Arabidopsis thaliana: one gene and its partner. The protein of the gene in region 2 purifies or fractionates together with the protein of the main gene of each other region. This does not show direct contact. Each region holds a gene or a part of one and is shown on either strand. Other genes may lie near its edges. The genes, in order: PKR2 and NOXY38.

What was found.
Region 1: the proteins of NOXY38 (region 2) and PKR2 fractionate together in Arabidopsis thaliana (co-fractionation; one large-scale study listed by BioGRID). This does not show direct contact.

Annotation. Positions count from the first base shown.
Region 1 is NC_003075.7:15,429,947-15,437,741, forward strand, and holds the start of PKR2 (chromatin remodeling factor), read left to right. Parts: upstream 1-1,581; coding exon 1,582-1,701; intron 1,702-1,767; coding exon 1,768-1,925; intron 1,926-1,937; coding exon of another isoform or gene 1,938-2,007; intron 2,008-2,047; coding exon 2,048-2,221; intron 2,222-2,430; coding exon 2,431-2,645; intron 2,646-2,726; coding exon 2,727-2,822; intron 2,823-2,917; coding exon 2,918-3,054; intron 3,055-3,135; coding exon 3,136-3,294; intron 3,295-3,389; coding exon 3,390-3,497; intron 3,498-3,654; coding exon 3,655-3,705; intron 3,706-3,810; coding exon 3,811-3,898; intron 3,899-3,999; coding exon 4,000-4,145; intron 4,146-4,255; coding exon 4,256-4,353; intron 4,354-4,442; coding exon 4,443-4,581; intron 4,582-4,810; coding exon 4,811-4,980; intron 4,981-5,149; coding exon 5,150-5,216; intron 5,217-5,311; coding exon 5,312-5,425; intron 5,426-5,523; coding exon 5,524-5,633; intron 5,634-5,755; coding exon 5,756-5,837; intron 5,838-6,081; coding exon 6,082-6,276; and 14 more. UniProt on the Arabidopsis thaliana protein: Chromatin remodeling factor that represses the expression of embryonic trait genes upon and after seed germination and thus enables the developmental switch to post-germinative growth.
Region 2 is NC_003074.8:19,331,233-19,336,075, reverse strand, and holds the start of NOXY38 (tetratricopeptide repeat (TPR)-containing protein), read right to left. Parts: upstream 3,249-4,843; 5' UTR 3,054-3,248; intron 2,851-3,053; 5' UTR 2,845-2,850; coding exon 2,538-2,844; intron 2,389-2,537; coding exon 2,327-2,388; intron 2,124-2,326; coding exon 1,934-2,123; intron 1,854-1,933; coding exon 1,713-1,853; intron 1,618-1,712; coding exon 1,461-1,617; intron 1,381-1,460; coding exon 1,187-1,380; intron 1,078-1,186; coding exon 976-1,077; intron 376-975; coding exon 240-375; intron 172-239; coding exon 7-171; intron 1-6. Other genes in the region: AT3G52130 (Bifunctional inhibitor/lipid-transfer protein/seed storage 2S albumin superfamily protein), read left to right, coding at 3,554-3,556, 3,694-4,065; AT3G52120 (SWAP (Suppressor-of-White-APricot)/surp domain-containing protein / D111/G-patch domain-containing protein), read right to left, coding at 4,338-4,364, 4,443-4,621, 4,729-4,843. UniProt on the Arabidopsis thaliana protein: mRNA-binding protein involved in proper cytoplasmic distribution of mitochondria. Together with REC2, REC3 and FMT/CLU, contributes to the establishment of the cellular volume devoted to the chloroplast compartment.

The DNA of each region.
Region 1 (7,795 bases), on a different chromosome or scaffold from region 2:
GTTGTGTTGTTTGGTCAGATCGCTGCTAATTGCTATTCTCAAGTCTCAACCTTCTTTTACTGGTACGCACTCAAAGCCCATTATCACCGAAAACATTTCGGTGGATATTTTAATAATTCTCTAATTGATAAGCGTGATTTTATGTCAACTTACAAGGCTTTTCAAAGCCCAAAAAGGGCCACAGGCCCAAGCATAAAGAGAAACATTCACACCATATCTATTTTAAAGATTAATAAAAATGAACAAAACTGATTTTAATTGTAAAATAACAAAAATTTGCTTTCATTGAGAGTTGAACTCAAGACCTCCCGCTTACTAAACGGGTGCTCTAACCAACTGAGCTATGAAAGCTTTTGCTGTTACAATTAATTAAAATCTATATAATACTTTGTAACAAAACTTTTTTTAAGTGTTAGTTAATTTAAAAAGCGTTAATCAATTGAAATGTGGACCTCTTAAAAAAACTAACAAATACAAAAATGCACCATTTGTCCATAGAGTATTGGAAACTAAGTAAACCATCTTCATACTATTGGTCACAACCAAATCCCTTTCCAATTTGTAACGGACGACTAATTTTGGTTTTGTGGTCAAGACTCAAGATAATGCTAATTTTTAAACAAAATTACAGTGCATGAATCTAATCTTTATTTCCTTCTTCTTTTATAACCTTTTTCATACTTACCATTTGCATGCCTCTCTTTAATATTTGTTTTATTCTATAGAAACAAATCACATTATATTGCATTGAATAGATTTTTATTTAAGTTTCATTTATTTGTTTTCAGACACATATCTTTAGATACTAAAGATATAACTAAATATTTAAATCTTATTTCTGGTCAACCCATTCAGACAAAGAATCTTAAATAAAAAAAACTTTAAATTAATTTCTTCCCTAAATATGATATATATTTTTTAATTATGTTACATAAATGTATATATACAATATAAATTTATAGTTTTTTTTTGGTAAGCATATAAATTTATAGTTTGACCAGTGTCAAGGAAACTTAATAAATCAAACAACTTTTTATACTAATAAAATAAAATAACTTTTTGTTTTAATGATATTTAAATATTTAATTATTCAATATATGGTTATTTTGATAATTTTATTTTAAATCATCATCGAATTTCTTGTTGAAATTTCAAAATTGCCGCGTAATCTTAACGGTTTTAGGTACAATTTCATTCACAAAAACCACTAGGACTCACTTCTAAAAATTTCTCACAGCCACAACTACATCTGCATCCCCTTCTGGTTACAAATTAATTCACCTTTACATTGAAATTGACAAAAAAAGGTAGTGTTATCTCCATAAAACAAAATTAAAAGGAAATAAAGAATAATGACCACTCCCTCTCTATATATATAAACAGACGTTTATCATATCCTTAAGAATCACCCCTCTTGCGTTTTAGCTCCCTTGCATTTTCTTCATCTTGTACGCTCCTCCTTGGTCTTAGATTTTCTGAGATATTTCTCTTTTCACTCTTTCTTGTTACGATTTTATCTAAAAATTTAATGAATCATATTTACTGACCAAACACATTGTTGTGGTTTTTTCATGCAGAGAAATGGCTAATCTGTTGCAAAGGCTTCGTAGACGAACCGGGCCAAAGCCAGATTATATTGAAGACAAGTTGGATGAATACATTCGTGAAGAACAAGTTGAAGAAACAGGCGGAAGTAACCAGGTATGTCTTTGTCTTGTTGTGAAATTATAGATCTGCAGTGACTTTTAATTATTTGATCCATTTCAGGATTGTCCTCTTGGCGAGATTGAAAAGATTTTGGACCGTGAATGGCGTCCTACTGCATCTAACAATCCGAATTCTTCTGACAACGGGACACCAACCCTAGTTGTCGTGAAACAATATCTTGTGAAGTGGAAGGGGTTATCGTACTTGCACTGCTCTTGGTAAATTCCCAGCAATATGCGATATCGTGTTGTATTTAATTAAACATGTCGATTATTATGTTTTTGTTGCTTCTCTTGTCTGGTTATCTTATCATCACTTGATTATTAATGTCAATTCTTAGGGTGCCCGAGCAGGAGTTCGAGAAGGCTTACAAGTCCCATCCTCATTTAAAACTAAAATTAAGGGTGACCAGGTTTAACGCTGCTATGGACGTATTCATCGCTGAGAACGGAGCTCATGAGTTTATCGCCATTCGTCCTGAATGGAAAACTGTTGACCGGATTATTGCTTGCCGGTTAAGTGATTCAAGTCTTGTCCTTTGTTTTTATGTCCTTAACTTGATAGACCTCGTTGTGACAATTATGTTTTTTTTTTTTTTTTTTTCCTTTGTGATTATTTATTCATGCGTTTATATTTCTTTCTCTATCTTCTGTGTAGAAAAGTGTGACACTTAATGGATTTCGTTTTGACAATTATGGTTTTTTTGTTTGTGATATGATGTAGGGAAGGAGATGATGGGGAGGAGTATCTGGTGAAGTACAAAGAACTTTCTTACAGAAATAGTTACTGGGAATCTGAATCTGACATCTCAGATTTCCAGAATGAAATCCAAAGGTTTAAGGATATAAACTCTAGCTCTCGTAGAGATAAATATGTCGAAAATGAGAGAAATCGAGAGGAATTCAAACAGTTTGATCTTACTCCTGAATTTCTTACAGGTATTTTATTAGACTACTTGAACAATTTGTATACAGTTTCTGTATAATGTTATTGATTTACTTACCTTATATGTTTTTAAGGCACATTGCATACATACCAGCTCGAAGGGCTGAATTTCCTAAGGTATTCATGGTCCAAGAAAACCAATGTAATCCTTGCGGATGAAATGGGACTAGGTACGTCTTCAAAAATCCATTTCTTTTTTGGGGTTATTCATAGGCTTTGCTTTTATCATTTGTGTAAAATAAGATTGGTTTTGTGGTTGCTGCAGGCAAAACTATTCAGAGCATTGCCTTCTTGGCCTCTTTGTTCGAGGAAAACTTATCTCCTCATCTAGTTGTTGCTCCTCTCTCAACCATCCGTAACTGGGAGAGGGAATTTGCCACCTGGGCACCACATATGAATGTGGTATGTATCATGTTTCGTATATATATGTCACATATACGGTATTAGTTATTTATTAATGTTTTCATCGTATGATATATGCAGGTTATGTACACTGGGGATTCGGAAGCACGTGATGTTATATGGGAACATGAGTTCTACTTCTCTGAAGGGCGTAAAAGTAAGTTTGATGTCTTGCTCACGACGTATGAGATGGTTCACCCAGGGATATCAGTTCTGAGTCCAATCAAGTGGACGTGCATGGTATTTCTGTATTAATTATCTGAATGATACTATATACTTTGTATGTCTTTCTTTTAGATCTCATATTTTGCTTAGAATATCATTCTCTTGGTTAGATTATTGATGAAGGCCATCGGTTGAAAAATCAGAAGTCAAAGCTGTACTCTTCATTGAGTCAGTTTACAAGTAAGCATATCGTTCTGTTGACCGGAACACCACTTCAGGTTCGTCGTTAGTCGATTTTTGGTTCTTCGACTTTCCCAAGGTTCATTCAATCCTACATTAAAGTTTACCTAATTAGTTATGATCTCTGAAATAGTACTATAATTATTATGGTATCAATTCTTTTGTATCACTAATACTTATTTGGTGTTTTTTCAGAACAACTTGAATGAACTTTTCGCTCTGATGCATTTTCTTGATGCGGACAAGGTTAGCCAAAAGATAACGCATATAAAATAAGTTTAGTTTATTCTCTAAAATAGTCATTATAAGCATACAAGCTTGCTTTAATTATTTTATTTTCCATGCTTGCAGTTTGGGAGTTTGGAGAAGTTTCAAGATATAAATAAAGAGGAGCAGATTTCAAGACTCCACCAAATGTTGGCTCCGCATCTGCTCAGAAGTATTAACCAACAAATCTTATTAAGAACATTTCGTTTGAAGTCTCGCACCAAGGGATAACTATAACCATGGTGATTAATCTTGCTTTTATTGTTATTGCAGGGTTAAAGAAAGACGTGCTCAAGGATAAGGTGCCCCCAAAGAAGGAGCTCATTTTGCGTGTTGATATGAGCAGCCAGCAAAAAGAAGTGTACAAAGCTGTTATTACCAATAATTATCAAGTCTTGACAAAGAAACGAGATGCTAAAGTAAGTTTTGTGGATCTCTTGTGCTTATGCAGATGTATATATATTGTCTTGGTTTAGGAACCTTTTAGACTGTACTTGGTAGGATAATTCGGCTGGTTAAACTGTTTCAGATATCTAACGTGCTAATGAAATTACGCCAAGTTTGCTCTCATCCGTATCTGTTACCAGACTTTGAGCCAAGATTTGAAGACGCAAATGAAGCTTTTACGTAACATTTGATCACTAATCTTGACGTATTGATTCCTTTTTAGTATTTTGTGCTGACTTTTGCTTGACCTTTTCTGAATTGTTCTAAAGAAAACTATTGGAAGCTTCCGGAAAGTTGCAACTGTTAGACAAAATGATGGTCAAACTCAAAGAGCAGGGGCACAGAGTGCTAATCTATACCCAATTCCAACACACCCTTTACCTTTTGGAAGACTACTTCACTTTCAAGGTAACCTAATCTGCTATATCTGTTTGTCGACCTATTGATTTGTTCAGTTGGTGTTGTCGCTCTGCAAATGACTTGCGATATAATCTTTTCCTTCCACTTAAAAGTTACTTTTTAATATATCTTGAGACGCAAGGAACAGTAACTTTCTTTTTATAATTTGCTTATATGCAATTAAGGAAAAACTATTGTATGATATTGAGCCGTAACAAATTTATTTTTATTTTGTCAGAATTGGAATTATGAACGGATTGATGGAAAGATCAGTGGACCTGAGAGGCAAGTAAGAATAGATCGGTTTAATGCAGAAAACTCGAACCGGTTCTGTTTTTTGCTCAGTACAAGAGCTGGTGGAATAGGGATAAACCTTGCAACAGCTGATACAGTCATCATTTATGACAGGTTTGAGTTCCAATATCTGTTTAATGAAATGATAAAGTGCTTGTTGGAAGTTTCTTTCCAGAATAACAGAGTGTTTGGATCTTCTAAGTTAATAGCGGAAAGATATTGTAGAGGCATTTAAGATGGTTGTGATGAATTTATTGACATGATTTTTTCACTGGTGTTGTAGTGATTGGAATCCTCATGCTGATCTCCAGGCTATGGCTAGAGTTCATCGGCTTGGCCAAACAAATAAGGTTCTCTTTTCATGGCGTCAATGTGGAATCATCCACTTGCTATTTCATTCTTTTTCTAGCTATGTCACTGATTAAGCCTATATTTTCTTATTTAGGTAATGATCTACAGACTGATTCACAAAGGTACTGTAGAAGAACGGATGATGGAGATAACCAAGAACAAGATGCTTCTAGAGCATCTCGTCGTGGGAAAACAACATCTTTGTCAGGTATATATATATATATGTATTCCTTGTTCGATTTGTTATTGATTCTTATTGCTACAAGGTTTAATTAATTACTGTTTTCTATCCCTGACTGTAATTAGGACGAGTTAGATGACATCATCAAATATGGTTCCAAGGAACTTTTCTCTGAAGAGAATGATGAAGCAGGGAGGTCTGGAAAAATCCATTACGATGATGCTGCTATCGAACAGTAATATATTCTTCTTTCTTTCTTTGTTTTTACTTTCCTAGTGATTTTACTTTAATAGTTCAAAGCCACCATACAATTGCATGGAATGTTCATGATTTGTAGCCACACCTTTTCTTCTGCAGGTTGCTAGATCGTAATCATGTAGATGCTGTGGAGGTCTCACTGGATGATGAGGAGGAAACTGATTTTTTAAAGAATTTCAAGGTTTACTTCTTTCTCTTTCTCTTTCTAGATGAGTGGTTATTGATCAGATGATCCAATATTTGTTAAGGTCCAGAGAATTGTTTAGAGAGTAATAATTCAATGGATATGCTACAAGAATCATCATGTGCATGTGCATGCATATATATACACCCTTTTTTCCTGCAATATTAAGTTATACACATATATTTAGTGGCATTAATTCCAAATATAATTTCTCTTTTTGATGTTATTTCCTGTATATTAGGTGGCTAGTTTTGAGTATGTAGATGATGAAAATGAGGCTGCAGCATTAGAGGAGGCACAAGCTATAGAAAACAATTCTTCAGTAAGAAATGCTGATAGAACAAGTCACTGGAAAGATTTGCTGAAAGACAAATATGAAGTGCAACAAGCTGAGGAGCTCAGTGCTCTTGGAAAGAGGAAGAGAAACGGCAAGCAGGTACGTATACTCTTCTTGATCCCACCTCTCCAGAATCGTTTTATGTCCTTTAGCACAAGTGTTCTTATTCCTGCTTTTGTTAATATTACTAGGTGATGTATGCTGAAGATGATCTTGATGGTTTAGAAGAAATCTCTGATGAGGAGGACGAATATTGTCTTGATGATTTAAAAGTGACCTCTGATGAGGAGGAGGAAGCAGATGAACCCGAAGCAGCTCGACAGAGAAAGCCGAGGACGGTTACAAGGCCTTACAGAAAAAGGGCTCGCGGTACTATACTTTTCCAAATATTGCATTGAAGATGACATCTTGTTGGTTTCAGAGGTTTACAAGTTAAGTAACTTTGAAAATCTATTTTGCTGTAAGATAATTCGGAGGAAATACCTTTGATGGAAGGCGAAGGGAGATATCTCATGGTGCTGGGATTTAACGAGACTGAGAGGGATATATTTTTACGTACGTTTAAGAGGTATATCTTCTTTCTAATAATGTTGTCTAAATTGTGGTTTGGCGTCTCTCAAAGCATCATAGTATATCATAAGTGTCTCAAAACAACTTTTGTAGGTATGGAGCTGGAAACTTTGATTGGAAGGAGTTTGTTAATCCCTTATACATGAAGACCTATGACGAGATAAATAAGTATTGACGACTTAAAGCCATTTATGCTCTTATTTTCAGCTGCTTTACAAAAACCAACAGTTGTTCATTGACACTTGTTAAATTTGTTGTTTCTCAGGTATGGAATCTTATTTTTGAAACACATTGCCGAAAACCCTACCGATAATTCTACAAATTTTAAAGGTAATTTATCACTTTATTGATTATATGTTTGTTGGTATTCTTAGATATATCCAATTGCTTATTTCTGTTATCATATTTTTAAGTTATTACGGCAATGGTCTATGCAGATGGAGTTCCCAAAGAAGGGATAAGCAGTGACGAGCTACTAGTGAGCATGACTTTTATGATGCTAGTAAAGGAGAAGGTAAGCCTACCATTTTCCAGTGTCTATGGAATTTAAACAGTTACTTATTAGCACTAGTAACCGAACCAAAACTTGAGAAGATTCATTGCATTCTTTCTTAAAGTTTTTGCATGTGGTTTATATATCTGAAAGTTTCTCGTTTGATAAAATTTGGTTTGGTCCTCTCTTGTTTGTTTGAGCTCACTTCTCAATGTTTGATGTGACAGTGTCAATTTTTGGACAACCATCCGACAGCACCTGTTTTCTCTAACTACGTCATCAGTAAGTACAATTTGAGAAATGGAGCATTTTCTAAGGAAGAACATGATAGGATACTGATTCCTGCTGTTTCCAAGTAAGAACCCTTCAACGATTATCCTTACTTGATTTTGTTTCTCTTTGTTTGTTTGCTCACATGCATGTTGCTTCCATTCTTGAAACTTTGTAAAAATATAGGCATGGCTATGGTAGATGGGTGGCCATCGTTGAAGACGAAGAGATAGGGTTCCAAGAGGTTGCCTGCAAAGACCTGAATATCCCTTTCCCTCCTGATAC
Region 2 (4,843 bases):
ACTGACATGTGCAAACACTCTGGATCAGTTGGGTTTATGGGTGGTATACACCGGCTGATTACTCCAATAGCTCCGTTAAGTGCTGCATCGACAAAATCAGAAGACACTTTGTAAAGTGCCCTGTCTCGTAATATCCTGCAACGAAGGAAATTTTCAATTAAGGAAACAAATCTGAAATGGAACAGAATCTCAAAATTTCATGCTACCGAGAAATCATTGTAGTTAGGTATCGCTTGTACCTCTCTTGAGGAGAAGTGTGAGGGAACTCTCTGCAAGATTGCAACTCTTCGTTCCAATCTCTCTGCATGCCAATTAACTCACTACCATAGGAAATGGTAAGTGCTTCTTCTGCTCTCGCTGCATCACGCTTGTGATCTGAGTCCAGATACAACATTCCGTGCTTAGATTTAATAGAAAAACTAATTCAAGTGTAGCTACAAAGCACACGTTCAATATATAAAACAGAAAATTAGTACATAGTCAATAAACACGCAACGAAATGGACCACATTCTATTAAGAGAATTAATTTACAAAATTTTGTTAAGACTAAAAACATCAAAATGAATATTATTCGAGATAAAAAAATAAATAAATAAATAAATAAATAATAAAAAATAAAATAAAATATTATTCGAGATTGTGCAAGATATGACTTGGCCATTAAAAGGCAGTCACAAAGAGAATGCACTAGAGAGGGACTTCAAGGATATATTGCATATTCTGCAATTAAAAACAAGGACTCCTTCAACCACACTACTTCTATGGCTGCCATATGAATATCTCAGAACCATTATCAGTGCATAAAACTGAATAACACAGAGTAAAGACCTCTGAAAGAACAGTTGAGATAGCCACGAAAGGAGAGAGTTAAGGTACTAAACCATACTACTGTGCAGAACGCAAGTATACTATAATAAACAAGTACGTCTGTGCAAGATGGATGACAATTCAAATGCTACTAAAATTAAACTCACCGGGTACTGGATAAGTTCTTAGCCATGAGTGTGGTGGCAAAAGCGATTGAACATTTTCAAACGGATGAGCAGAGGCTTTCTTTTCCATGACTTCACGGAAAGCTTCAAATAAAAGGAAAAATAGAAGCTAATCAACAGATTGAATGATTATCACGTCATAAAAAGAGTAAAGAATAGACTTAAGAAGAATGGTGTATAAGCTGTTTCCCACCTTTTTTAAACTTAGAGCTAAGCTTTTGTAATAGTCCAATCAGCGTAGCTGCTTCAAATCCAGATTTACTTGGTCTTGGATCGAGAATATTCCCTGAGCTGGAATTAACATAAAATGTTTTGGTTGTGCCTGTTATGCAGTACTTGTTACCTTCCAAGGTCACAACATCTAAATATATTAGATCTCCTACAAGCCTGCAACAAATATATTCATAAGAAACAACATAAATGGTAAATTTATGCCTTTACAAATGCTAAAATAAGTTGCTCAATACCTTCTGTGGCTTGGAGGAGGGTTGAACGATGAGAACACAATGTTTTCCACAGATCTGATCTCTTCTGATGTAGAATTTATTAACTTCTTGAGAGAGCCAGGCACATCTTCCATAAAACCCAAACATTCCAGCTCTGGAACGTCAGACTTTGGTTTATCTGTTTCAATATAGAGGCCATAAATAAATCCTTCGCAGTGCATGAAAATATTAGCAAAGCAAAACAATATTAAGAGAATGATTCAAATTTGAAACCTCCAGGGTTCTGAACTTTGTTCAGTGCTGCGTCATACTGCAAGGCAAGTGTTGTTGATAGAGAAGAGTGAAGTGTTGAAAGAGACAAAAGATCTCTGGCACGGTGAACATGCGCTCTGATAGATCTATCATCATACAATGCTGTGGGAAGAAACATAACAAGTCAACTTTCTGTTTTTAGTCTCAACCCAAAAAAATGAAGAAAAGACAGACTTAGCTACCTGCAACCATTTCCAAGGAGCAACCACCAATGGTGATGTCAGCTACTTCAGAGATCTCATTGTAGTCTTCCAAATGATGAGTCTCTCCATCTTTATTGCGGAGTAACAACTCATAACAAGTGAAGTAGCACGTCTCTGGAGCATCAAGGAGGAACTGCCTTATATCCATCACAGAGTCTCCAGGGTTCAACTGAAAACACAAACATTGGACAGATTTAGTAATTTACACCAATATATATAAGAGAAACCAGTAGGAAAAGGTAATGCTTTACAAGAAATATCTACAGGTATTAAATCCCTGACGAAACTAAAACACTATTTGATTTTCTAAGACTAGCCAATAGTATATAAGCGAGAAAGCAAAAAAAAAAAAAAAAAAAAAAAAAAACTCACTTGAAGCTCCATTTTACCCCCACTTTGTGTTTTGACAGACACAGGATAAAGACGGAGTTCACCTGTGAAAGCAGAAAAATTAGACACTTAAAAGCAATACACAAGAGGGTGTGGATGAATCTACTTAGCTTACGAGAAAACCACACTGACACTTCAAATTGAGATATACTAAAAAATTGGGTGATTTACTAATAAAAGCATTAGAGCTAACCTTGCTTGGGTTGGGCATCGTTATTTTCAACTTGTGACTCACTTTCGTCAGCCTTAGGAATCGTAGGAGCAACTTCATTGGCTTCAGGCACCGCAGAGTCAACAGCAGTGAGGGTGCCATTATCGGGAGCAGTAACCGGAGCAGCAGCAGTAGCAACCGGAGCAGCAGCAGCAGTAACCGGAGCAGTAGCAGGAACAGTAGCAGCAACAGGAGGAGCAGGAGCATCGGATTTAACATCAGTAGTGGAATTGGTGGTAGTGCTCTGAGCCGCTCTCTTGGCCTTCGATTTGTTCGACTTCCCAGCCATTTTCACCTATTAGAGGAAAGATTCAGAAACGATACAAAAGTGATTGAATTTCAGAAAGATCATTCATTTGACGGAAACAGAGGAAGATGAGGAATACAATCCAAAAGGGGGGAAAAAGTCACAGATACGTAAGGGATAGATGGAAATGGAGAAAGACCAATTCACTAAAATAAGTAAAGGGTCTAGTAGAGGATCTGAAAAGGAATTACCTGGAGGGGTCGAGAGAAATGGAGTAACGGGAGAGACGACGGAGAGAGCGGCGGAGTAGGAAAGAGATGAGGTTTAAGGAGGGTTGAAGTGAAAGAGGCGGCTGATGATATTCTGACTCCTCTCTATGTGTTAGAGCTGAATACTAGGAGAGAGATACAGAGAATAACAAACCAATCCCTCCTTTTTGGGTTTCTAATGGGCTTTGTTTGGGCTTTTTTAAAGCGGGAAAGATGCGAAATTTATTGCAAATCATCAGAATTTTAAGCAAGTTTTTAGATACCCACAGTAGGTGAGAATAATCACTGACCACAATATTATTATTATGGGTTTAATATTTGTAGCTAGGAGGAACCGGTGATATGTTATAATTTTTGTGAGTTTGATCGAAGATTAAAGCTCTGGACAGTGGAGACACACACACGGAGTAATCGTGAGGCTATTTGGTTGTGAGGTAGGAGAGAGGTGTGAAACGGCATGACATTGTTACCCCTTTCATTATATGGTATGGTATATAAACCAGCAGCATCTCGTTGTTGCGTCATCTCATTACCATCGCTGTTTACATGATGATGAAAGCTATGAGAGTTGGGTTGGCAATGACGCTGCTCATGACCATAACCGTTCTTACCATTGTTGCAGCGCAGCAAGAGGGCCTGCAACAACCACCTCCACCACCAATGTTGCCCGAGGAGGAAGTGGGAGGATGCAGCAGGACATTTTTCTCCGCGCTGGTACAGCTCATACCATGTAGAGCAGCAGTTGCTCCTTTTAGCCCGATCCCACCGACCGAGATATGTTGCTCTGCCGTTGTCACACTTGGTCGTCCTTGTCTTTGCCTCCTTGCCAATGGACCTCCACTCTCTGGCATTGACCGCTCCATGGCTCTTCAGCTCCCTCAGAGATGCTCTGCTAATTTCCCTCCCTGCGATATCATCAACTAGGAAGGACATATCATCTTTCTTTTCTTTTCTTTTTTCATTTACCTTTCTCTTTAATAACCTTGCTGCTTAGTGTATTATGTCCCAGACTTCCAAAACATTAATAAAGTTATGACAATCGAATCAAAATCTCAGTCATTAGCAATAACAAATCCATTGTATTTCAACTGATATGTCTGTCAAAGAGATCTATTTGCACACTGAAACGCAAATTCAATGCATACCAACACTTCAATATATCAGTAATCTAAAAGCTTGAACATTCTTTATAATAGAAAAGCAAAGCTCAGACGGTGCTGAGGTGAACCAAAGATAATAATTGCGCATAACACATTGATTTGATCCTTAGTAATACGCCTTCCTGGGATTTCCCTGTAGTACAATTGAGACAGATGGTGAGTAAAAGAAGTGCTATCACAAAAAGAATGGAGCTAAAGATGGATAAAATACCAGTGGATTGGGTCTGTGTTTGTAACCCAGCATCATCCGCTTCTTGTACTGCTCGTATATATCATCCTCAGGCTTGACTTCTCCTGGAGCGGAAGCACCAACTCCCAAGTTGTTTGTCTTTACATCGCCTGCCATTATAGGGTCTGCCATACCCTTTCTGGAGCTTCCTATACCTTCACCTGTAATCCACTCCTCCAATTTTCTAAGCTCTTTGTCTCCATAAAGGCACAAGATACAGAAAGAAACAAGGGCACCAATTTACAGATAGAGTGATGCAAGTAAGCACCTTCTTTCCAACCCATTTTTGACAAGAGTTTATGTCCAACATTATCTGCTTGGATCTTCGCTTTCTCAGCAGCCTCCTTTGTGGCTTTTTGTGCAGCTGCGTCATTGCACTTTGA